4 linked regions of the Saccharomyces cerevisiae S288C genome follow. The gene in region 1 interacts genetically with each later gene. Each region holds a gene or a part of one and is shown on either strand. Other genes may lie near its edges.

Region 1 (5,907 bases):
GATTGCCAATTCATAATGGGTTCTTTTGCCAATTTGTACTATGAAACATTCATCAGCGAACACAGAATAACAGTAGATACAGTTTTATCCACTATTTTAATGAACCTGAACGACAAGCAGATTATAGAATTGATTGATATCTTGATTAGATTCCTATCTAAAAAAGGTATAATATCAGCGAAGAATTTTGAAAAGTTGGCTGACATCTTTAATGTGACCAAGAAATCATTGACCAATCACTCTTGAATATAAAAAAGACCATATAAAAGTATATATGAGTGTATGAATAGTTTTTTTTTTTCAAACTTATGCACGCTATACTACTCTTTCCCTATTTAGTTTATGTAAATTATAAAATATGATATCAATTCTTTAACAAAATTTCTCGCTCGTTTTTATACTTATGACTATATGTAGGAAAATAAACGTGTTGCTCTGTCATGTTACTTCTAAAATATTGAGAGGAGAAAAAAAAAAAAAAAAAAAAAATTATAAACAAATGAAAAAAGGACGTACTGACTAATAGTAAGTAGATCTTTTACCTGGAAGGTGCCCTATGATAAGATTTTTCATCAACCAATCTAGCTGAGCATACTGTTGGCAGTAATTAGGATGATTTTCTCACTAGATGAAGAACTTCATCGTGTGTCACTAGATGATAAAAAGAATGACATTAAAGTAGATTATTCCTCGGCAATATACAATGATATCAATCATGAACAAGGCAGCTCCATCACATATGAGGAGAGTATAAATCACCTCTCGGTTCATTCAAATGCGATTCCGCTAAATGGCATGAGTCCTGCACATAGGATGAGAAGAAGGTCCTCAGCTTATTCCAAATTCCCTATTCTCACTCCACCAAATACGAGAAGATTTTCTATTACAGGTTCGGACGCAATGCGAACTAATACGAATAGACTATCCATAACACCTCAGGACATTATTTCCTCTAATATTGGAGAAAATGAATTATCAAGGAACCTGCACGATTTTAAGCCCGTGAGAGTCCTAGGCCAAGGTGCCTACGGTAAAGTTCTTCTTGTTAAGGACGTCAATACATCCAAGCTGTATGCTATGAAGCAATTACGGAAAGCAGAAATTTTAATTTCTCAAACAGCCACAGATTCCAAGAGAGAAGACGAAGATAAAAATGATGGTAATAACAACGATAATGACGATGGATTATCAAAGAGGCTTGAGAGAACATTTGCCGAACGGTCTATTCTATCTGAAATAGAACATCCAAACATTGTCAAGTTATTTTATTCTTTTCACGATAACTCAAAGTTATATTTACTGCTACAATATATCCCTGGCGGTGAACTATTTTACCACTTGAAGGAACACGGGACCCTAGATGAGACGACAGTTTCGTTTTACGCGGCAGAAATCAGCTGTGCCTTGAGATTTTTGCATACGAAAGGTGTTGTCTATAGAGATTTAAAACCTGAAAACTGTTTATTGAATCAACGTGGACATTTAGTATTGACAGATTTTGGTCTGAGTAAAAAAAGTGCTAATGATTCCGCGGTTGATGAGGAGGATCCAGAGAACGTCAATGCCCTATACTCGATTATCGGTACGCCTGAATACTGTGCGCCTGAAATATTATTAGGTAAAGCTTACAGTCAGAATTGTGATTGGTATTCTTTGGGATGTCTGTTGTATGACATGTTAGTAGGTAAGCCTCCATATACTGGTAGCAATCATAAGGTGATCATTAATAAGATTCAACAAAACAAGCAAGGCCCCAAAATTCCATTTTATCTGAGCGAGGGAATGAAAGATATATTAAACGCGCTGTTGAAGAAGGAAACTGCCAAAAGGTGGAATGTTGACAAATACTGGGCCAAAACCGGGGCTAATAATAAGCCTACTAAGTCTAAGAAGAAGAAATCAGGGGCTGCAAGAACTAGTCTTTTCACTGAACATTTTATCTTTAGAAAAATAGACTGGAAGTTATTAGAATCTGGACAATTGCAAAAAACCACTCTAGGCCCAATTGTTCCAGTTATTACGGATTTGGAACTAGCGGAAAATTTTGACACAGAATTTACTTCTATGTCATATGAGGAAACCTATACGGATAGCAAGCCGATTAATATCAATTCGGTGAGCAAGTCCCCGGATATGTTCAAGGGATTTAGTTATAAAGCAAGTGGTAGCTATTTGGAGAAGTACTTTTGAATTAAAAGTTAGATAGATTAAGAGAGAAGGCTCGGATCTGCACTGACTTACTTTTTTTTGTTTTTTTGATGTTTAAAGGATCTGTGTCACTGTATATACTTTGTTTTGCTTTAGGGTTACGAAACACATTTTTAATATATAATGTATGTAATAATATTAAAAACAACTGTATGGATAATACTTCTGGACCAATCGGTGATACCATCTTCCTTATTTATGGTATTATTATCATTATTGGACCCCGCCGGTGCTTTTTTTTTTACCTTAAAAGAGTGGTTCTCCTCCAAGGGACGCACGAGTGGTGTACCCAGGGGTTGTTTCCATGGCTAAAGAAATTGGAGATTACAAACGTACATTGTCATTTAAGAAGGTTCATAATCTGCCAATTACATTTGATATAACAAGATGCTTCCCACATTCAAACGTTACATGTCGTCCTCAGCTCATCAGATTCCCAAGCACTTCAAATCGCTCATCTATTCAACTCATGAAGTTGAGGATTGTACCAAGGTTTTGTCAGTGAAAAATTATACGCCTAAACAAGACTTATCTCAATCAATTGTGTTAAAAACTTTGGCCTTTCCCATAAACCCTTCGGATATCAATCAGTTGCAAGGAGTATACCCGTCTCGTCCAGAAAAGACATACGATTACTCCACAGATGAGCCAGCCGCTATCGCCGGTAATGAGGGTGTCTTTGAAGTTGTTTCTTTACCTTCGGGAAGTTCCAAGGGAGATTTGAAATTGGGTGACCGAGTTATCCCATTGCAGGCAAATCAAGGGACTTGGTCCAATTATAGAGTTTTCTCTAGTAGTTCTGATTTAATCAAGGTAAATGATTTGGATCTGTTTTCTGCGGCAACTGTATCTGTTAATGGTTGTACCGGTTTCCAATTAGTATCAGACTATATCGACTGGAACAGTAACGGTAATGAATGGATTATCCAAAATGCCGGTACATCTAGTGTATCAAAAATAGTTACGCAAGTAGCAAAAGCTAAAGGGATCAAAACATTAAGTGTTATACGTGACCGTGATAATTTTGATGAGGTAGCAAAAGTTTTGGAGGATAAGTATGGTGCTACGAAGGTTATTTCCGAATCGCAAAACAACGACAAGACTTTTGCCAAAGAAGTATTGTCCAAGATTTTGGGTGAAAATGCAAGGGTGAGGCTTGCCTTGAATTCTGTTGGAGGTAAATCCAGTGCATCAATAGCACGTAAGTTGGAAAATAATGCTTTGATGCTCACTTATGGAGGAATGTCAAAACAACCTGTAACTTTACCAACATCTCTACACATTTTCAAAGGCTTGACATCCAAAGGGTACTGGGTGACTGAAAAGAACAAAAAAAACCCCCAAAGCAAGATTGACACCATCAGTGATTTTATCAAAATGTATAATTATGGTCACATTATTTCACCAAGAGATGAAATTGAAACTCTTACCTGGAATACTAACACTACTACTGACGAACAGTTACTAGAACTAGTCAAAAAAGGTATAACTGGGAAGGGGAAGAAAAAAATGGTTGTTTTAGAATGGTAAGGGCCTTAGCATTGCTCAGAGTTAGACAACCACCAAAGATAGTATTCCTCTTTATGACATCGAGTATAGTTGCTATATAATATATACCAAGACATTAAAAAATATATGCCAGTGCTATCTTTGTAGGAGCTAATAAAAGGGGACGTCGACCCTTCAATGTATATATCGATCCTTTCACATTAGTCAGGACGAGATAATGAGCATGATGTATAAACAAACGGTAGTTAATACCAACGATAAGTTATACAACTACTGTACAATAAAAAAACATCACAATAGCAATACAGGAGTCCTATTCGCTACTTCAACTTGACAAGATCTACTAGATATAGAAATATCTAGCTTAATCAACAATTTTCCTCACTGATTGCTTCCTCCGAATGCCATTATTGGCTTTCTTGGTTCTTAAGCATGATATTACGTATAAATAGCCATTATATCAATTAGAACAAAAGATTACGTAAATGCAATTTTTCCTGAGAATGGCGTTCGAAGAAGGGCGCGTAACTCGTAGAAACCTAAGAATTCTCGTAGAGCGAAGTCTTCGGTAGGAAACGTAGTAGATTTGCAGAAGATACGCCTGTTAAACTGAAGAAAACAAATCTGAGTAGTTTCCCTTCTTTGGAGTTGAGCTTTACAACAAGTTCATATTGTTGGTGCCAATTTGCCTTGAGACAACTAAGGCAGAATGCAGTTGTTGCGTGTTACTTAATTCTCCGTATTGAATGACCACGCACAATTCCTAATTTTTTTTTTTTCTCGAAAATTCTTTTTTTTTTCACTGAAAAAATTTTTTCAAGGGCCATCCCAGCGATTTTATGACCCAAAAGGAAGGATGCAGTGAAAGTCAACTTACGTCTTCTCTCTCATACCTTTCGTTGCGAGAAATCGTATTTAGTAGTGTATTCAGTTGATAATTAGTACTAATTTTTTATTGCATTTTGCCTTTTTTAGCTTTTTGTGTTACTTCTAGTATCCGTAAAAACAATCAAATAAATAGCACTGTAAAACATGCCTCCAAAGAAGCAAGTCGAAGAAAAAAAGGTCTTATTGGGTCGTCCAGGTAATAACTTGAAAGCCGGTATTGTCGGTTTGGCCAATGTTGGTAAGTCTACCTTTTTCCAAGCCATCACTAGATGTCCATTGGGTAACCCAGCTAACTATCCATTCGCTACCATTGATCCAGAAGAAGCCCGTGTTATTGTCCCATCTCCAAGATTTGATAAGTTGTGTGAAATCTACAAGAAGACAGCTTCGGAAGTTCCAGCTCATTTGACCGTTTACGATATTGCTGGTTTGACTAAGGGTGCCTCTGCTGGTGAAGGTTTGGGTAATGCTTTCTTGTCTCACATCAGATCAGTCGATTCTATCTACCAAGTCGTTCGTTGTTTCGATGATGCTGAAATTATCCACGTTGAGGGTGACGTTGATCCAGTTCGTGATTTAGAAATTATTAACCAAGAACTAAGATTGAAAGATATTGAATTCGCACAAAAGGCTTTGGAAGGTGCTGAAAAGATTGCCAAAAGAGGTGGTCAATCTTTGGAAGTCAAACAAAAGAAGGAAGAAATGGATTTGATTACGAAAATCATTAAATTGCTAGAGAGTGGTCAAAGAGTTGCTAATCACTCCTGGACTTCAAAAGAAGTTGAAATTATCAACTCCATGTTCTTGTTGACTGCTAAGCCATGTATCTATTTGATTAATTTATCTGAAAGAGATTACATCAGAAAGAAAAACAAGCATCTGCTAAGAATCAAGGAATGGGTAGACAAGTACTCTCCAGGTGACTTGATCATTCCATTCAGTGTTTCTCTAGAAGAAAGACTATCTCATATGTCCCCAGAAGATGCTGAAGAAGAATTGAAGAAACTGCAGACAATATCTGCCTTGCCAAAGATTATCACTACCATGAGACAAAAGTTAGATTTGATTTCCTTTTTCACCTGCGGTCCAGATGAAGTTCGTGAATGGACCATCAGAAGAGGTACTAAAGCTCCACAAGCTGCTGGTGTTATTCATAACGATTTAATGAATACCTTTATTTTGGCTCAAGTTATGAAATGTGAAGATGTCTTCGAATATAAGGACGATTCTGCCATCAAGGCCGCTGGTAAGTTGATGCAAAAGGGTAAAGACTATGTCGTTGAAGACGGTGATATCATTTAC
Region 2 (6,259 bases), 460 kb from region 1:
CGTGACACCTCTGCGAATAACTGTAAAAGACAATTTGTAGAAAAGGCCCTGACATCAGGATAGTTCTCCGTGTCTTCAAAAAGTTGAGCAAATACTGGCAGTATTTTTTTTACATGTCTTAAAGCCCAGTATTTATCTTGATTTCGTATTTCCAGCAAAAACTTAGTATAATAATTAACCAATTCGATGAAAACGAGGATATCTTCAACGGATTTCAGTATCTCTTCTTTAGTAAAGCAAAATATGATATCCTTGAACTCAGGACCGCTGATGAATTGAAACTCAATAGTCAAGAAGTCAATTAATCTGACAAAAGAAACCGTTTCCATTCTACCCTTTACGCTCACCAGGTATGGCAAATTATTATCAAATAATCGACGCCTAATCAATTCATCTGTACTCAACCTTTCCAACGCTTTTTCGATTGCTGTAATGAGCTTATCATTCTCCACTTTCTCATCAAATAGAATATCCAATAGAATATCGATGATATTACTGGTCGCGAATAAACCCTTTGGCTGCGAATTCTCAATGACTCTACATGCTGCTACTTTTAATGGATCTATTTCTGACCTAAGGGCCTTCACTAAGTCCTCCGCGCTATAAACTTCTAGAACATCGTCAAAATCAGCCATGGGAACAAGCTTGTCCACAACGTCCAAAAGGTAATCGTAATTCAATGAATCATAGGATACGTTAGACGTCAGAAAACGCTTGATCGTAGCCAGTAGTGGTTTAACATCCATATCTGGAAGGGAGACAACAGTCACAAGATTCAAAGAACATTTCCTTAATAGTGTGTTGATATCTTCAGGCAAGTTATCTTCATTAAGTTCATTTTCTAATTGCGTAAGGAGATTTTCCACGTAATTTGTTTCTTTCTCACTCATTGCTCCTGTTTCGCTGAGTTCTTTTGCGGTGATTATAGTTGTAAACTTGTTTTATTTTTAATCCCGTAATTAAGGTGTTTATATAAACTTACTCTTCAATTTTTCTATATGCATTTGAAACAGAAAAAAAGATATAAAAATACCAGCTATAACAAAAATCCATGTAAATAAAATTACTGTATATTTTTTTATGTAATCTAATCAAAAAAAATTCACGTCTAATACTAGTCATAAATGGAGTTGAAGCCATTAACTACTTATTTTTTATCTTCGTCCTTTTTCTTTTCTAAATGGACATTATTACCATTAAAGGTTGTTGGGTCTTCAGGATCTTCTTGATGATCGTTGTTAACAAATTGGAAAACATTTGGCGAGACAGAACGTGACGTAGTAAGGTTGGTTTCCGATGGGTACCTGGTTCCGCTAGGTGTCAGCATTGGTGATGCATGAGCAGATGATTGAACTGGTTCCCGAACATTGTTGTATTGGAAACAGCTTGACGAAGCAGCTCCAGATAAAGGTGTTGAAGACCTCACTTCGTGACGATTCGGCTTCGATGTTTCCTCACGTTGTGATGTTACTTCAGGATCTTTATCGTTGTGCCACCACGTAGAGAATCCCTTATAAAGACGGCCCAAAAGGCTTGGTCCCTCCATCCCAGTCACAGATAGCCCCGAGTTTTGAGTTTCTAGTGGTTTAAGTAATAATGCAGACCTTGGAGTTAGTTCTAGTGTCTCTAGCGTCTTCAATTCATCAGAATCCTTAAATGTCACTCTGGGAATGCCCCTGTGGAATGAGTACGGGCAGTCTCCATCTGTCCTGTTGACGTCCACCCATTTTCTAACGTCATTTAATGTTTCAGACGAGTTGAACTCATGTTTTAGAGTCTTGCCATCAGTCATCCTGATTTGCAAGACGCATTTGCTGCTGTGCAGTTTTTGTGCGTCTTTTATGTAATCATGAACATCCAATGGCTTATCATCATCAAGGGTTCTGTGATGAGTTTCATCAAGAGCTTTTCTTTCTGCACGGTCTGCCCTAACAAGTCTTATAATTCTTTCTCTTTCCTCCTCAGCCAGCTTTCTTTGTTTCAGTTGTTCACGACGTTGGATCTCTAAGGTAGTCTCAGCAATCCGTTCTCTTGCATTTTTCCTATGGACGTCTCTGGATGACTTTTCTTCTCTAGCCAAACCTGGATTGGTTTCCCTGGACGAACTCTCACCAGCCTTTTTGTCTTTGATGCCTATGCACGCCAGCAACTTCTCCCAATGTCGGTCATCCTCGCCTTGAATAATCAATTCTATCTTTCCAGCACGTATCAAGTATATACTGGGTACAACTACATTAGGAAATACTTGCTCAAATAACTGGAACTGCTCAGTGTCTTTGACCAACCTCAACCAAATACTATGTTCCGCTAAAGTATCTAATGAGACATCATCTCCTTTAAACCAACTTTTCAGCCACTGGTCATCCCGTGCAGTGTTGTAAACGGCCAGCACAACGCCTTCCTTGATGGAATCGTTTATTGCTTCTTCCACAGAATCTCTAAACAGTGCTTCTAACATTTGGTTACGGCTGTTTGGTTTAGCTATCCTTGCTTCTTTGTAAGTGCTTTCAACCTCAACCCAGCTCCCTTTTAAATTTTCAACATTACTACGAGGCCTGCCGAAGTTAATAAAGAGCGGCTTTAAATGTCATTTTAATAATTGAATGGCAAATAAAAACAACTACAGCTTCAAACATAAGAGTATATCATAAGTTGCTGTATATGGGCAGCACGTATTACTATGAGTCTCTCGCAGGTGTCACCTTTACCCCATATCAAGGATGTTGTTTTAGGAGATACAGTAGGCCAAGGCGCATTCGCCTGCGTTAAAAATGCTCATCTTCAAATGGATCCCTCCATTATTCTAGCTGTTAAATTCATTCATGTTCCCACTTGCAAAAAAATGGGACTCAGTGACAAGGATATCACAAAAGAGGTTGTTTTGCAATCGAAGTGTTCTAAGCATCCTAATGTTTTGAGACTTATCGATTGTAATGTCTCTAAAGAATATATGTGGATAATTCTGGAGATGGCAGATGGTGGTGATCTATTTGATAAGATTGAGCCTGACGTTGGAGTTGATTCCGACGTGGCCCAATTTTACTTTCAACAGCTCGTTAGTGCTATTAATTATCTGCATGTAGAATGTGGAGTTGCTCACAGAGACATCAAGCCTGAAAACATCTTACTCGATAAGAACGGAAATCTGAAGCTAGCTGATTTTGGGCTCGCCTCTCAATTTAGGAGGAAAGATGGTACATTACGTGTATCCATGGATCAAAGGGGTTCTCCACCCTACATGGCTCCTGAAGTATTATATTCTGAAGAGGGTTATTACGCAGATCGAACAGATATATGGTCTATTGGCATCCTCTTGTTCGTATTGTTGACTGGTCAAACGCCTTGGGAATTACCTTCATTAGAGAACGAAGATTTCGTCTTTTTTATTGAAAATGATGGAAATTTAAACTGGGGACCCTGGTCAAAGATAGAATTTACTCACTTGAACCTACTCCGAAAAATTTTACAACCTGACCCAAATAAGAGGGTGACATTGAAGGCTTTAAAGTTACATCCTTGGGTATTACGTCGAGCTTCATTTTCTGGGGATGATGGTCTCTGTAATGACCCTGAACTCTTGGCTAAGAAACTGTTTTCTCACTTAAAAGTCTCACTGAGTAACGAAAATTATTTGAAATTCACTCAAGATACAAACTCTAATAATAGGTACATTTCTACTCAGCCAATTGGTAACGAATTGGCTGAGCTTGAACACGACTCAATGCATTTCCAGACAGTTTCGAATACACAACGTGCATTTACCTCGTATGATTCAAATACGAACTATAATAGCGGAACAGGTATGACACAAGAGGCTAAGTGGACGCAATTCATAAGCTATGATATCGCTGCCTTACAGTTTCATTCTGATGAAAATGATTGTAATGAATTAGTAAAACGACATTTACAATTTAATCCGAATAAACTTACCAAGTTCTACACGTTGCAACCTATGGATGTTTTGTTACCGATTTTGGAGAAAGCCTTGAATTTATCACAAATTAGAGTAAAACCCGACCTTTTTGCGAATTTTGAAAGATTGTGCGAATTATTGGGTTATGATAACGTTTTCCCACTTATTATAAATATTAAAACCAAAAGTAATGGGGGTTATCAATTATGCGGTAGCATTTCCATCATAAAGATTGAAGAAGAGTTGAAAAGTGTCGGATTTGAAAGAAAAACTGGTGATCCTTTAGAATGGAGAAGATTGTTCAAGAAAATTTCAACTATCTGTAGGGATATTATCCTAATTCCCAACTGAAAAAAATGGAGACAAAAGAAGGGTTAAGATGCACTGATCAAAAAAAAAAAAAAATTCTTTCTACTTATTATATATCTCTCTCGATTTCTAGTGTGTCATCGTAACTATATATTGTTTCGAGAGATTTTATTATTGTAATTAATTTATTGCCATTTTGATCTATTCTACATACTAACAATCAATTCATATCATTATCCCTGTTTGAGTAATATTCGAGCCTCATCATAAAATCTAATAATTCAATTCTCAAGTTTCTTCTTTCTTCCACAGATATTCCGTTCAAGTCGCCCGGTGTGAACCCTCTCAATCTGGCCACTAACCTTCTCGACTTTTTTGAAAAAAAGTGCACTTTTAATGAAGGTGTGGCTTCCCTAGATGTAGCATCTTCGTTACCATCTCCCCCCAACAAAGGTTCGCCATCTGCTTCTGTGTGGGCTTGGCCTAATTGAATTTCATGGTGTTTTTCTTTTCCACCAATTGTTTTTGGTACGGTGTCTAAGCCATTCTGCGCGTTGATATTTGTATTTTCTGTCATTCGAGGAGGTGAATCTGGTGGCATTAACTCATTCCTTTGCAATCTCTTTTTCAATTTCTCTTTTATTTGGCTCTTTGACCCTTGCATTTTCAAAGAATTGAAAATGGGTATACGAATTTCTGGTAACACTGAAATATCAGCAACTTCGGGTTGTTCTTCTAGACCTGTCTCTTTAGATACCGCATGTTCCATTGATTTTAAAAAGCCCTCATCTCTGACATTTTCTTCAACAGGTACAAAATCGTCATTAATATTGGCATCCTTATCTCCTTTAAGCGGTCCCTTCAAATTTTTATTAAGTTCGCATGTTCCACTATCTTCTAAGCGTACATTGATACCTTCTTCGGTCATAACAACTTCCCTAGATTCTTCTTCAGTGCCTTGAATGGGTGTGCTGTCCATCCTGTCATTATTTTTGTTTCTACTGTTTATTGCACCCACTTGATGTTTCTCTTGCGCAACCGTTCCATGTTCATCTTCATCACTACGCAAGTCATCAACTTTTGATTTTTCTGTCTGCTTTGAACTATTGAGAAGTATAGTCCCACTCGGGATCTGAATGCCGTCTCCTGGCACCTCATTCCTTACTGGAGAGGCTTGTTCAACATTACAAGCATAATCGTTGTTTTCACCCTCATTATTAGGACGGGCTTTCTTCACGCTCTTGTACTGTGCAATATTGTCTTGCGTAAAACTTTTACTGTTGATTTTATTCATACTTTCCTGGTTCTCCTGTCTTTGAACATGTTCAACTTGCCCTTTTCCATCTTCCTTTGTTATGGTTTGCTGGTCAAGATCTAAAGTGACATTCAAGGAATTTTCATTACAGTTTGTTTCCACTTTTATGCTATTCCTTAAAGCTAACGAAGATTCTTCGTTGGCTATACTCTTGATGTTAGTACATATAACGTCACTGCTAGGCGACACCGCTTGTTCCTCAGAAACTAAAACGTCCACCATCGTTTCATGACCTTTCGATCTTTTATTTTCAGAGGTAGGCGTCTCTTTGGAAGGTCGTTTTAGAGGATTATCACTGTTAACAACGTTATGATCAGGATTCGTTTTGATAGATCTATTTGTTACCGCCTTCAGTTCGCTAGTGAGAACTTCTATCGGTTGGTATGCGTTCACTTCCGAGGATTGTGTATCAATACTTTCATGCAGCTCAGTAACATCCACCTCATCGCTTTTAGTAGAACAAATGTTGCTATGATTGGCCACGTTTTTATCTAACTGCGTACTCTTCATCTGCTGATCTATTTCTCTAATGCTTTCATTATCCACTTCCTCTAGTGTTTCATCATCAATTGATCTGCTTCGGTTAGCATGTGATTCTTGCTGTGAAGAATTCATTATTGCAGTATTTTTAAGCGATATTGAATCTGAATCTTTCGCACTAATCTGGGAAGATATTTGAATTGAGGAGGGAGGCTCTTTCATTCCCTGCGTAGCCGGAACCT
Region 3 (6,446 bases), on another chromosome or scaffold:
AACTAGCAAATGTAACGTTTTGATGAGCCAAATACCACGATTCGCAATCTTTGGGGAAATCTGGACCAAAAATAGGCACCAGAAAGTATCTGATCGGAAAACAAAACCGCAGGCATAGCAACCTTGAGATTTCCATCGGCAACCAAGTACCCTGAATTTTGATGTAACCACCTCTTATTCTTTTCGTAAAATTTGCCGGATTTAAGTTGGGCAAGTCTATTTGGTCAGGACCAAGTTCATTGATCAGGAAGTCTTTGTAAGACTGGCAAATAAGGTCCCGCAGTTCGGGCTTGATGTTGTTCCAATGAAAATCGATGTAATTGTTTGCCTGCGTTGAAGAAGTAGATGAAGAAGACGCATTGGCGTCCAAGAAGGTAGACCCTGTGGATGTCCGTCTCTTTGGCGGCGAAGAGGTGGAGGACGACAACAGTACGCTTGAAGATTCCTCAGAAGTGAACGAACTGTGATTGTAAAAGCAAAAAGATAGAATTTTCTCGAATTCAGCCTTGCAAAAGAACTGCTGTTGGCTAGTGGAAACGCTGTCACCTCTGGGCAAGTTTATAAGCCCCTTCATAACATCCTGATACAGCCGCCAGATGCCCGTCATGAACACATAGCCGGAGTCATGCGACCATATTACGCAGTTGTTAGGGTTGATGAGCTTGTCATTGATCAGATTATGGTCCATTTTGGTCAACTTGAACTGCTGATTCTTTGTCAGCGAGGAGGTGGCATTTTCACGCGATGCTGTTGACAGAGCCTTCTTTTCTTGCTTGGTGGGTGATGCTGAGACTGGTGTTTTGTTAGACCGGGAAGGTAGTATGATCTTACCCATCAGAATATTTTTATCGTGCAGATGCAAGGCGGAGTGAGGAGTGGCGGAGCTAGCGAGCTGCGATAGCAACGTTTGTTCGTGGACTAGGCTCTGAATTGTTTGTAGGTTGGGAAACTGGTACTCGAAGCAGTTCAGAACGTTCTGCGCCGCCGCCTCTTCCCCGTTCCCTGCGTCCCGAGCACTGATAATGAAGTTTGGATGTGTGAACTGCGCAGCAATGGAGGATTTATAGTTAACCTTTCTAATATTGAGTCCGGCGCTGAAACTGGCCGGCGGCGAGTCCCTATCCAGTACGCTGACGAGGTAGAGACGCTGATAGTCGTCCAGGGGGTTGTCCGTTAAGTGTACCGTGTCACTGTTAATGCTAAAAGCGGGATATTTCATGTTGGAGAAGGTGTCTATGATAAGGTATTTTGAGCTTGCCGTTGTGTGGGGAGAAGAACTGGATGCGTACCGAGAACGAGCAAGTTAAAACACTAGTACACGAATAATAGATATATATATGTATGTATATATATGTTGAAGTGTGTACACACGTACACGCACAAGCTACAGACGCCACGCGGCCCGGCATTCATATATGTACATACATTTATGCACATATATATATATATATATATGTATATGTAAATGTATATATACAGCTTGTGATTTCGCGCGCCGAATGGGCTGAAAAGCACAGTATAGTGGAGAAGAAGAGAGAGGAGAAGGGGAGAGGGGCAATAGCAATGGATGTGGTAGAATACAGGGAAGGCCAAGCTGTTGTTCAATGGATGCGGTTCGAGGCCCAGCGCAAGGGGGGCGCTTCGAAGCATAGAACATTATCCGCGGAAACGGGTATTAGGGGTGAGGGTGAATAAGGAAAGTCAGGGAAATCGGGCCAGAGTAACACCCATTCATAGCACTCGTACAAGGTGCTTTTAACTTGCCTGCATGTGTGGAGTCACAAATTAGGGGACTCAGGCACAGAAGCAAGGGTCCTTTTTTGGTTCCCTGTTTCCTCCTGCGCATTTCGTATTTTTTCTCATCTCTTGGCTCTGGATCCGTTATCTGTTCTGTTACACAAGAAATCGTACATTTACAATATAGTGATAATCGTGGACTAGAGCAAGATTTCAAATAAGTAACAGCAGCAAAATGGCAAGACAAAAGATGTTTTATAACAAATTACTCGGCATGCTCAGCGTAGGATTCGGGTTTGCTTGGGCGCTCGAGAACATTACTATATACGAATTTGACTTTGGCAAGGGCATTCTCGATCAAAGCTACGGCGGTGTATTTTCAAACAACGGCCCTTCGCAAGTGCAGCTGCGGGATGCAGTCTTGATGAATGGGACAGTGGTATACGATTCAAACGGCGCTTGGGACAGTAGTGCGCTGGAGGAATGGCTCCAGGGACAGAAAAAAGTTTCCATCGAAAAAATATTTGAAAATATTGGGCCCAGCGCCGTGTATCCGTCTATTTCGCCTGGGGTCGTGATTGCGTCACCATCGCAAACGCATCCAGACTACTTCTACCAATGGATAAGGGACAGCGCGTTGACGATAAACAGTATTGTCTCTCATTCTGCGGGCCCGGCAATAGAGACGTTATTGCAGTACCTGAACGTTTCATTCCACTTGCAAAGAAGCAACAACACATTGGGCGCTGGCATTGGTTACACTAACGATACAGTGGCTTTGGGAGACCCTAAGTGGAACGTCGACAACACGGCTTTCACGGAAGATTGGGGTCGTCCTCAAAACGATGGGCCTGCTCTTCGAAGCATTGCCATCTTAAAAATCATCGACTACATCAAGCAATCTGGCACTGATCTGGGGGCCAAGTACCCATTCCAGTCCACCGCAGATATCTTTGATGATATTGTACGTTGGGACCTGAGGTTCATTATTGACCACTGGAATTCTTCCGGATTTGATCTATGGGAGGAAGTCAATGGCATGCATTTCTTTACTTTACTGGTACAACTGTCTGCAGTGGACAAGTCGCTGTCGTATTTTAACGCCTCAGAACGGTCGTCTCCCTTTGTTGAAGAATTGCGTCAGACACGCCGGGACATCTCCAAGTTTTTAGTGGACCCTGCGAATGGGTTTATCAACGGCAAGTACAATTATATTGTTGGGACACCCATGATTGCCGACACATTGAGATCCGGACTGGACATATCCACTTTATTAGCTGCGAACACCGTCCACGATGCGCCATCTGCTTCCCATCTTCCGTTCGATATCAATGACCCTGCCGTCCTGAACACGTTGCACCATTTGATGTTGCACATGCGTTCGATATACCCCATCAACGATAGCTCCAAAAATGCAACGGGTATTGCCCTGGGCCGGTATCCTGAGGACGTATATGATGGATATGGCTTTGGCGAGGGAAATCCCTGGGTCCTGGCCACGTGTACCGCTTCAACAACGCTTTATCAGCTCATTTACAGACACATCTCTGAGCAGCATGACTTGGTTGTCCCAATGAACAACGATTGTTCGAACGCATTTTGGAGCGAGCTGGTATTCTCCAACCTCACGACTTTGGGAAATGACGAAGGCTATTTGATTTTGGAGTTCAATACACCTGCCTTCAATCAAACCATACAAAAAATCTTCCAACTAGCTGATTCATTCTTGGTCAAGCTGAAAGCTCACGTGGGAACAGACGGGGAACTAAGTGAACAATTTAACAAATACACAGGGTTTATGCAGGGTGCCCAACACCTTACCTGGTCCTATACTTCATTCTGGGATGCCTATCAAATAAGACAAGAAGTTTTACAGAGTTTGTAGACAAAAAAAAAAATAAAAGGAAAGCGAGAAGTATACACAAGTGTATTTCCTAGATATTTACATCAAATATATATATATACTTATTTACAAAACTCTGATATTATAAATTGATTAGATACTATGTCGGAACGTCCAGCCCAACCACGTTTGCAGTTCTTTTCACTTTCTCATCCTGTGTCAACTTGTTGCCAGGATTGTATCTGTCGACCAGCTCCTCGTATTCTCTTTGGTTGTCCAAGAACTTGATGATGTCCAAAGCGTGTTCGAATATCTCGTCAACGTTTTGTCCCTGGGCCACCTTTTTCTCCCACTTTATATCGTTTTGTAATATGGAACGTAATGACTTAGAGTCGGCTATAAACAAATTCAAAGATCTGTCGCTTACCGGATCTAGTTTTTTCCATTTCTCTAACTGTCTGTTGATGTTCTCATGCGAGTCTCTCTGATTTTGTTTCTTAGCATATTCCAACTTTGTTATCATTGCCTTTCGTAGATTGCCCCAATTGACTATCTTGCTTGGCCTTTCATATTTCAGAATGGCTCTTATGAGTCCTCTATATGTGCGTAATGTTCTTGGTCTATCCATTTCCCTGGCACTCTCTCTTTCTCTCTCTTTTCAGCTTTTTGTTATCCACTTATCGCTGCAAATGAAACTCTAGTGCAATTTGAGATATTCACTTTTTGCAAAGGCGAAGAGAAGGGGGTGGTTAAATCTACAATTTCATACATAAAACAGAGAAAATGATTATAAATTATAGGAAAGTAGGTAAGCCATGGCAGAGAAATCAATATTTAATGAGCCTGATGTGGATTTCCATTTGAAATTAAATCAACAATTATTTCATATTCCTTATGAACTACTGTCCAAACGTATCAAGCATACTCAAGCGGTAATTAATAAGGAAACCAAATCACTACATGAACACACGGCCGCATTAAATCAAATATTTGAACATAATGACGTTGAGCACGACGAGTTGGCACTAGCAAAAATAACTGAAATGATTAGGAAAGTTGACCATATAGAAAGATTTTTAAATACGCAAATCAAGTCCTACTGTCAGATTTTGAACAGAATTAAAAAAAGGCTGGAGTTTTTCCACGAACTGAAGGACATCAAGTCACAAAATTCAGGAACATCGCACAATGGAAATAATGAGGGTACCAGGACTAAATTGATACAGTGGTATCAGAGTTATACAAACATTTTAATTGGTGATTATCTGACGAGGAATAACCCGATTAAATACAACTCGGAGACAAAGGATCATTGGAACTCTGGCGTAGTGTTTTTGAAACAGAGCCAACTGGATGATCTCATTGATTATGATGTCCTCTTGGAGGCTAATAGAATTTCGACTTCGTTACTACATGAGCGTAATCTCTTACCCCTAATTTCATGGATAAACGAGAACAAAAAGACACTGACCAAAAAGTCCTCTATATTAGAGTTTCAAGCAAGATTGCAAGAATATATTGAACTACTAAAGGTGGATAACTATACCGACGCTATAGTATGTTTTCAAAGATTCCTTTTACCATTCGTTAAGAGCAACTTCACCGATTTAAAATTAGCATCTGGACTTCTGATTTTTATCAAATACTGTAATGATCAAAAGCCAACTTCTTCTACCAGCTCTGGATTCGATACTGAAGAGATTAAGTCTCAAAGTTTACCAATGAAGAAAGATCGAATATTTCAACATTTTTTTCACAAATCTTTACCTAGAATTACCTCCAAACCTGCGGTGAATACAACAGACTATGACAAGAGTTCCTTAATAAATTTACAAAGTGGAGATTTCGAAAGATATCTGAATTTATTAGATGATCAAAGATGGTCGGTATTAAATGATTTATTCTTGAGCGACTTTTATTCCATGTATGGCATATCACAAAATGACCCTTTATTGATATACCTGTCACTAGGTATATCGTCTTTGAAGACAAGAGATTGCCTGCACCCTTCTGACGATGAAAATGGAAATCAAGAGACGGAAACTGCCACAACAGCAGAGAAAGAAGTTGAAGATTTACAACTCTTTACGCTACATTCACTAAAAAGGAAAAATTGTCCCGTTTGCAGTGAGACTTTCAAACCAATAACACAGGCATTACCATTTGCTCATCACATTCAGTCTCAATTATTTGAAAATCCAATACTATTACCAAATGGAAATGTTTACGACAGTAAAAAATTGAAGAAATTGGCCAAAACATTGAAAAAGCAAAACTTAATTTCTTTAAATCCAGGTCAAATTATGGATCCAGTTGACATGAAAATATTTTGCGAATCAGATTCTATCAAAATGTACCCAACCTGAAATAGTTTCAAGCTATATGCATTTTTTTATATAAAGATTTGTCCAACTTTCACAACTATTTTACAGATACTTACGCTATATAAGAATTAGGGAAAATGAAAGTTCTTTCATCAACATGGCGACATTCTTCCTTCTGTACTTAGTCTGAATCAGAATCTGTGTCTTTTTTGCTTTTACGGTTATGTTTTGAACTATTCGAGACATATTTACTAAAGATGTAGAACCTAGCATCACGTTCTTTCGCAGGTTTTGTAGTATCTTGTTCGCTATTCGTTCTCCGGTGATGATATCCTGGAAAATTTTCCCATTGGAATTTGCTCGATCTGCTCAGAGTTAGTCCATTTTTTTTGGCTAAAAGTTTGATTTGCCATGAATCATAGGGCTCTCCATCGAAAAGGGACAGTATGATGTTACCATAACCTTCGGCGGTCAATTTTTTAGCCTGGGGAGTATCCTCATTAAGATCATAGCCTTGCGTATAACGAAGAGTATCATTTTGA
Region 4 (6,309 bases), on another chromosome or scaffold:
GGCACTTTTTTTTTCCTTCAAATCTTTTATTGTATTAAAAATTTTCAAGTTGATTTGCGATGTATTTGTGAGATGAGATCATTACAGAAAATCTTAATCAAGTGAAGAATTTACAGCGCCAATATCCTGAATATGAGTGGAATGATAGAAAATGGGTTACAGCTATCGGACAATGCTAAAACCTTACATAGCCAGATGATGTCGAAAGGAATAGGCGCATTATTTACACAGCAAGAACTCCAAAAACAAATGGGAATCGGGTCGTTAACAGACTTGATGTCCATTGTACAGGAATTGCTAGACAAGAACTTGATCAAATTAGTAAAACAAAACGACGAATTAAAATTTCAAGGTGTCTTAGAATCTGAGGCGCAAAAGAAAGCCACCATGTCGGCTGAAGAGGCACTGGTATATTCTTATATCGAGGCTAGCGGTAGAGAAGGGATATGGTCCAAGACTATCAAGGCAAGAACCAATCTCCATCAGCATGTAGTTCTTAAATGCTTGAAGAGTTTAGAATCCCAAAGATACGTGAAGAGTGTTAAGAGTGTAAAGTTTCCCACAAGGAAAATCTACATGTTGTACAGCTTACAACCCTCTGTGGACATCACAGGAGGTCCATGGTTCACAGATGGAGAGCTGGATATAGAATTTATCAATAGTTTATTGACTATTGTTTGGAGGTTCATATCAGAGAACACCTTCCCTAATGGCTTCAAGAATTTCGAAAATGGACCCAAAAAAAACGTCTTTTATGCTCCAAACGTAAAAAATTACTCTACCACACAAGAAATTTTGGAATTTATTACAGCGGCACAAGTGGCCAATGTCGAGTTAACCCCTTCAAATATCAGATCTTTGTGTGAAGTCTTAGTGTACGACGACAAGCTGGAAAAAGTCACGCATGACTGCTATAGAGTGACCTTAGAGAGCATTCTACAAATGAACCAAGGTGAGGGCGAGCCGGAGGCAGGTAATAAGGCTTTGGAGGATGAAGAAGAATTTTCCATCTTTAACTACTTCAAGATGTTTCCGGCTTCAAAACACGACAAGGAAGTGGTCTATTTCGATGAATGGACAATTTGAAGTTCTTGACTACCCCTATCTCACACTAGTACGTAATTCAATGTATCATTCGTATTGTAAGTAGATAGAGACGCAATACAGGAAAGCTGACCTTCCTTCCAATCACCACGGCTGAAATGCTTTGTTGACCAATTACGGACGCTTAAGAGCGGACGCGGCTGGAACGGCTCCATCCTAAATCGGCGGAGGGAGAACTCCGATACCAGCCGACATGGCAATAATAGTGACAGTAGATGCTACCAGCCCCGCAATAATTTCACAGTAGATCATCAACAGTCTCCTCATTTCTGGAAATGATCAGCAACTTCGACGGATTTAACTCTCAAGCAGTTACGCACTCCGAGAACAGCCGTGATCATCTTTGAACAAGCAAAATATATAAAGCAGGAGAACTGTCCTACCTAGAGCTAGAATAGCCATAACTAACTATGTAACATTCTACAGATCAATCAAAAACAATCTTCAATCACAGAAAAAAATAAAAGGCATGTCTGACAGAGAACAAAGCAGCGGCAACACCGCTTTTGAGAACCCTAAGGCACTCGATTCTTCCGAGGGTGAGTTCATCTCTGAAAACAACGATCAGAGCCGCCACTCGCAAGAGTCCATATGCAAAATATATACTGCGGGCAAAAACAACGAGTATATTTACATCGGCCGTCAAAAATTTTTAAGGGATGATTTGTTCGAGGCATTCGGTGGTACTCTGAATCCCGGTTTAGCCCCCGCGCCAGTCCATAAATTCGCAAATCCTGCTCCACTAGGACTTTCCGGTTTTGCCCTCACTACGTTTGTCCTATCCATGTTCAATGCAAGAGCCCAAGGCATCACTATCCCTAATGTTGTTGTTGGGTGTGCCATGTTTTACGGTGGCCTCGTTCAACTCATTGCTGGTATTTGGGAAATCGCTTTAGAGAACACTTTCGGTGGTACAGCCCTGTGTTCCTTCGGCGGTTTTTGGTTAAGCTTCGGTGCTATATACATCCCTTGGTTTGGAATTCTAGATGCCTATAAGGACAAGGAATCCGACCTTGGAAATGCGCTAGGGTTTTACCTCCTAGGATGGGCACTCTTCACCTTCGGTCTTTCCGTCTGCACCATGAAATCAACTATAATGTTTTTTGCCTTATTCTTCCTCTTAGCAGTGACCTTCTTACTTCTATCCATTGCAAACTTCACAGGCGAAGTTGGCGTCACTAGAGCTGGTGGGGTCCTTGGTGTGATAGTAGCCTTCATTGCCTGGTACAACGCTTACGCAGGTATTGCCACAAGACAAAACTCGTACATTATGGTCCATCCATTCGCATTACCTAGCAATGATAAGGTGTTCTTCTAAAAACACAAAAGTGCAGGCTAAAATAACTTTTACCCCTATTATATATTCTTATGATCCATTATTTATGAAAAGCCCAGCAAATGTCGAACAAATCGGCCTTTGTTTTATTTCACATAGAATCCTTTATAAAACAACACTGTTCTCATGCATTTCCGAACTATTGTTCTTGTTGTATAGGAGCACGGTTTACCCCTTTTGCTATTGACACATGTAATATCGCATAAAAAAGAAACCGCACTTCATAGTGCATAAGCAGTACAGAAATGATATCACATGTAAGTGATAGCGATTTGACTGTTTGCTACCGACAAGACTATCTGAAATAAGAAAAAAAACGACCCCAGTGAGGGTTGAACTCACGATCTTGCGATTAACAGTCGCACGCCTTAACCAACTTGGCCATGGAGTCACTTTAAATTCTGCAGAACGTGAAAGGTTCGATTTCCATGATCTACACGATTTTAATCATCTGTAAGCCTTGCCATGAAGCTAAATTGGTGAATTTTTAAGAATTGTTTTGTTGGAACGAGAGTAATTAATAGTGACATGAGTTGCTATGGTAACAATCTAATGCTTACATCGTATATTAATGTACACCTCGTATACGTTTAAGTGTGATTGCGCCTATTGCAGAAGGAATGTTAAACGAGAAGCTCAGACAATACTGAAGCTGTGTTAAAGACCTATTAGTTGAACATGTTATGGTAGGTACATATATGAGGAATATGAGTCGTCACATCAATGTTTAGTAACTACCGGAATCACTATTATATTGGTCATGATTAATATGACCAATCAGCGTGTGTTTTATATACATCTCTTATTTAGTATAAGAAGATCAGTACTTATTTCTTCATTAATACTAATTTTTAACCTCTAATTATCAACAGAGGAATATGAGGATTCCTAGATCCTCGAGGAGAACTTCTAGTATATTCTGTATACCTAATATTATAGCCTTTTTCAACAATGGAATCCCAACAATTATCTCAAAAATCACCTAAGCCTCACATGCATGTTTTACGTTGTGGTTGATGATCTATTGATGTTGAGGTACCATATTTTGAAATTCATTAAAACAACTTCTACCGGGCGTGTGGTCTAGAGGTATGATTCTCGCTTAGGGTGCGGGAGGTCCCGGGTTCGAGTCCCGGCTCGCCCCCATTGATTTATTTTTATCAAATTTTTTAATATTGCATATCTTTAGTGGGCAAAAAATTTTTCCCTGGGCAAAAATATAAGAGAGCTCATCTTATTGTTGTCAGCCCAATGATTCCCTTGTCAAATTGAATTTTCGGATTTACTTGTTCAGGTACCCGCGTTAAGGGGCTGCCGCGCCTGTCACTCTAAGAAAAAAGGAGCCATCAAAAACCATTCAGCATTAACTAAAAACGCGGGTAGAGATTACTACATATTCCAACAAGACCTTCGCAGGAAAGTATACCTAAACTAATTAAAGAAATCTCCGAAGTTCGCATTTCATTGAACGGCTCAATTAATCTTTGTAAATATGAGCGTTTTTACGTTCACATTGCCTTTTTTTTTATGTATTTACCTTGCATTTTTGTGCTAAAAGGCGTCACGTTTTTTTCCGCCGCAGCCGCCCGGAAATGAAAAGTATGACCCCCGCTAGACCAAAAATACTTTTGTGTTATTGGAGGATCGCAATCCCTTTGGAGCTTTTCCGATACTATCGACTTATCCGACCTCTTGTTGTTTGAAAATGTCAATTGATATCCATCCATTATATAAATGCTCAAAACTTGCAGCAACTATTCTTTACCCTTCCCCTGTTATGGATTGCTAGTCTTAAGGGGGAAATTTGCTGTTTACTAAAATACAAACCAGGTTTGTTTTGGCTTTTATTTGCATTTAAGTAATTACAATTACAACCATTAAAAAGAAAATAAGGCAAAACATATAGCAATATAATACTATTTACGAAGATGTCAGCGATATTATCAACAACTAGCAAAAGTTTCTTATCAAGGGGCTCCACAAGACAATGTCAAAATATGCAAAAGGCTCTTTTTGCACTATTGAATGCTCGCCACTATAGTAGCGCCTCCGAACAAACGTTGAAGGAGAGATTTGCTGAAATTATCCCAGCAAAGGCAGAAGAAATTAAAAAATTCAAGAAAGAACACGGTAAAACCGTTATTGGTGAAGTTCTTTTGGAGCAAGCTTATGGTGGTATGAGAGGTATTAAAGGCCTTGTTTGGGAAGGTTCCGTGTTAGACCCCGAAGAAGGTATTAGATTTAGGGGTCGTACTATTCCAGAAATTCAAAGGGAACTACCAAAGGCTGAGGGTAGTACAGAACCTTTGCCAGAAGCTTTATTTTGGTTGCTTTTGACTGGTGAAATACCTACTGACGCTCAAGTTAAAGCCCTTTCTGCTGATTTAGCTGCCAGATCAGAAATTCCAGAGCACGTTATCCAACTTTTAGATAGCCTCCCAAAAGATCTACATCCAATGGCGCAATTTTCTATTGCCGTGACTGCTTTAGAAAGCGAGTCTAAGTTTGCCAAAGCATATGCTCAAGGTGTATCCAAGAAAGAATATTGGAGCTATACATTTGAAGATTCGTTAGATCTGCTGGGTAAATTACCTGTTATTGCTTCCAAAATTTATCGTAATGTGTTCAAGGATGGTAAAATTACTTCAACCGATCCTAATGCTGACTATGGTAAAAATTTGGCCCAACTTTTGGGCTACGAAAACAAGGATTTTATTGACTTAATGAGACTATATTTAACTATTCATTCTGATCATGAAGGTGGTAACGTTTCTGCCCATACTACACATTTAGTGGGTTCTGCCTTATCTTCGCCATACTTATCTTTGGCCGCTGGTTTGAATGGTTTAGCTGGCCCATTACATGGTCGTGCCAATCAAGAAGTTTTAGAATGGCTATTTAAATTGAGAGAAGAAGTGAAAGGTGACTATTCAAAAGAAACAATTGAAAAGTACTTGTGGGATACTTTGAACGCAGGGAGAGTTGTTCCTGGTTATGGCCATGCGGTTTTGAGAAAAACTGATCCTCGTTATACGGCTCAACGTGAATTCGCATTGAAACATTTCCCAGATTACGAGTTATTTAAGTTGGTCTCCACCATTTATGAAGTTGCCCCAGGGGTTTTAACTAAGCATGGTAAAACTAAGAACCCATGGCCAAATGTTGATTCACATTCCGGTGTTTTATTGCAATACTATGGTCTAACTGAGGCTTCGTTCTACACTGTATTGTTTGGTGTTGCCAGAGCTATTGGTGTGTTACCCCAATTAATCATCGATAGGGCTGTTGGTGCTCCAATCGAAAGGCCAAAATCATTCTCCACCGAAAAATACAAGGAGTTGGTAAAGAAAATCGAAAGTAAGAACTAAGGAAAATTTGATTTTTGATTCAGGGTATGCGACTATTCAAACACGTATTTTCATATACGAATGAGTAGTTTATAATTTATATAAATATATATTACATAAGGAAATGGCTATGACTTCATGATTTTTACGCTTTGAGTCCCCTATGCCTACCGGTTATGTTATATACTTGGCAAATGATATCAATGAATAGAAAACAAAATGCTCTTAAATTCCTGCAAAGCGCTTTCAAATCGAATTGTGGTGGGCTGGCGCGCTGATTTAGCAGTAAAATCTAGCCTGTAGTCGATATACTACGTCAAGGTGTAACTAACGTTTATATGTATATGAACCTGCAGAAGAAGCAAAATGACAAGGTTAATGCATCTTTATCTGTCCTAGAGTAGAAGATACACTAAAAAGTTGATAAAGCGAATATAATATGGTCATGTGAAAAAAGCAATCTCATAAAATTTTCTCTTTTTCCTTTTTTTCTTCTGTTCTTACCTCAAGATAAATGTCACT

The links.
Region 2: mutations in ETR1 (region 1) and CHK1 together harm fitness more than expected from each alone (negative genetic interaction), as found in Saccharomyces cerevisiae (3 studies listed by BioGRID).
Region 3: mutations in ETR1 (region 1) and FYV10 together harm fitness more than expected from each alone (negative genetic interaction), as found in Saccharomyces cerevisiae (2 studies listed by BioGRID).
Region 4: mutations in ETR1 (region 1) and CIT1 together harm fitness less than expected from each alone (positive genetic interaction), as found in Saccharomyces cerevisiae (3 studies listed by BioGRID).

What each region holds. Positions count from the first base shown.
Region 1 is NC_001134.8:290,708-296,614, reverse strand, and holds ETR1 (enoyl-[acyl-carrier-protein] reductase), read left to right. Parts: upstream 1-2,595; coding exon 2,596-3,738; downstream 3,739-5,907. Other genes in the region: CDS1 (phosphatidate cytidylyltransferase), read left to right, coding at 1-246; putative protein kinase YPK3, read left to right, coding at 613-2,190; YBR027C (uncharacterized protein), read left to right, coding at 2,259-2,591; OLA1 (Obg-like ATPase), read left to right, coding at 4,750-5,907. UniProt on the Saccharomyces cerevisiae protein: Catalyzes the NADPH-dependent reduction of trans-2-enoyl thioesters in mitochondrial fatty acid synthesis (fatty acid synthesis type II).
Region 2 is NC_001134.8:746,914-753,172, forward strand, and holds CHK1 (serine/threonine protein kinase CHK1), read left to right. Parts: upstream 1-2,680; coding exon 2,681-4,264; downstream 4,265-6,259. Other genes in the region: HSM3 (Hsm3p), read right to left, coding at 1-890; UBX7 (Ubx7p), read right to left, coding at 1,148-2,458; DNA-binding protein RIF1, read right to left, coding at 4,443-6,259. UniProt on the Saccharomyces cerevisiae protein: Serine/threonine-protein kinase which is required for checkpoint-mediated cell cycle arrest and activation of DNA repair in response to the presence of DNA damage or unreplicated DNA.
Region 3 is NC_001141.2:176,032-182,477, forward strand, and holds FYV10 (glucose-induced degradation complex subunit FYV10), read left to right. Parts: upstream 1-4,395; coding exon 4,396-5,946; downstream 5,947-6,446. Other genes in the region: XBP1 (Xbp1p), read right to left, coding at 1-1,219; SGA1 (glucan 1,4-alpha-glucosidase), read left to right, coding at 1,973-3,622; FMC1 (Fmc1p), read right to left, coding at 3,741-4,208; BMT5 (25S rRNA (uracil2634-N3)-methyltransferase), read right to left, coding at 6,086-6,446. UniProt on the Saccharomyces cerevisiae protein: Component of the GID E3 ligase complex recruiting N termini and catalyzing ubiquitination of proteins targeted for degradation.
Region 4 is NC_001146.8:629,121-635,429, reverse strand, and holds CIT1 (citrate (Si)-synthase CIT1), read left to right. Parts: upstream 1-4,368; coding exon 4,369-5,808; downstream 5,809-6,309. Other genes in the region: RPC34 (DNA-directed RNA polymerase III subunit C34), read left to right, coding at 133-1,086; putative ammonium permease ATO2, read left to right, coding at 1,574-2,422. UniProt on the Saccharomyces cerevisiae protein: Specific citrate synthase with catalytic activity only with acetyl-CoA.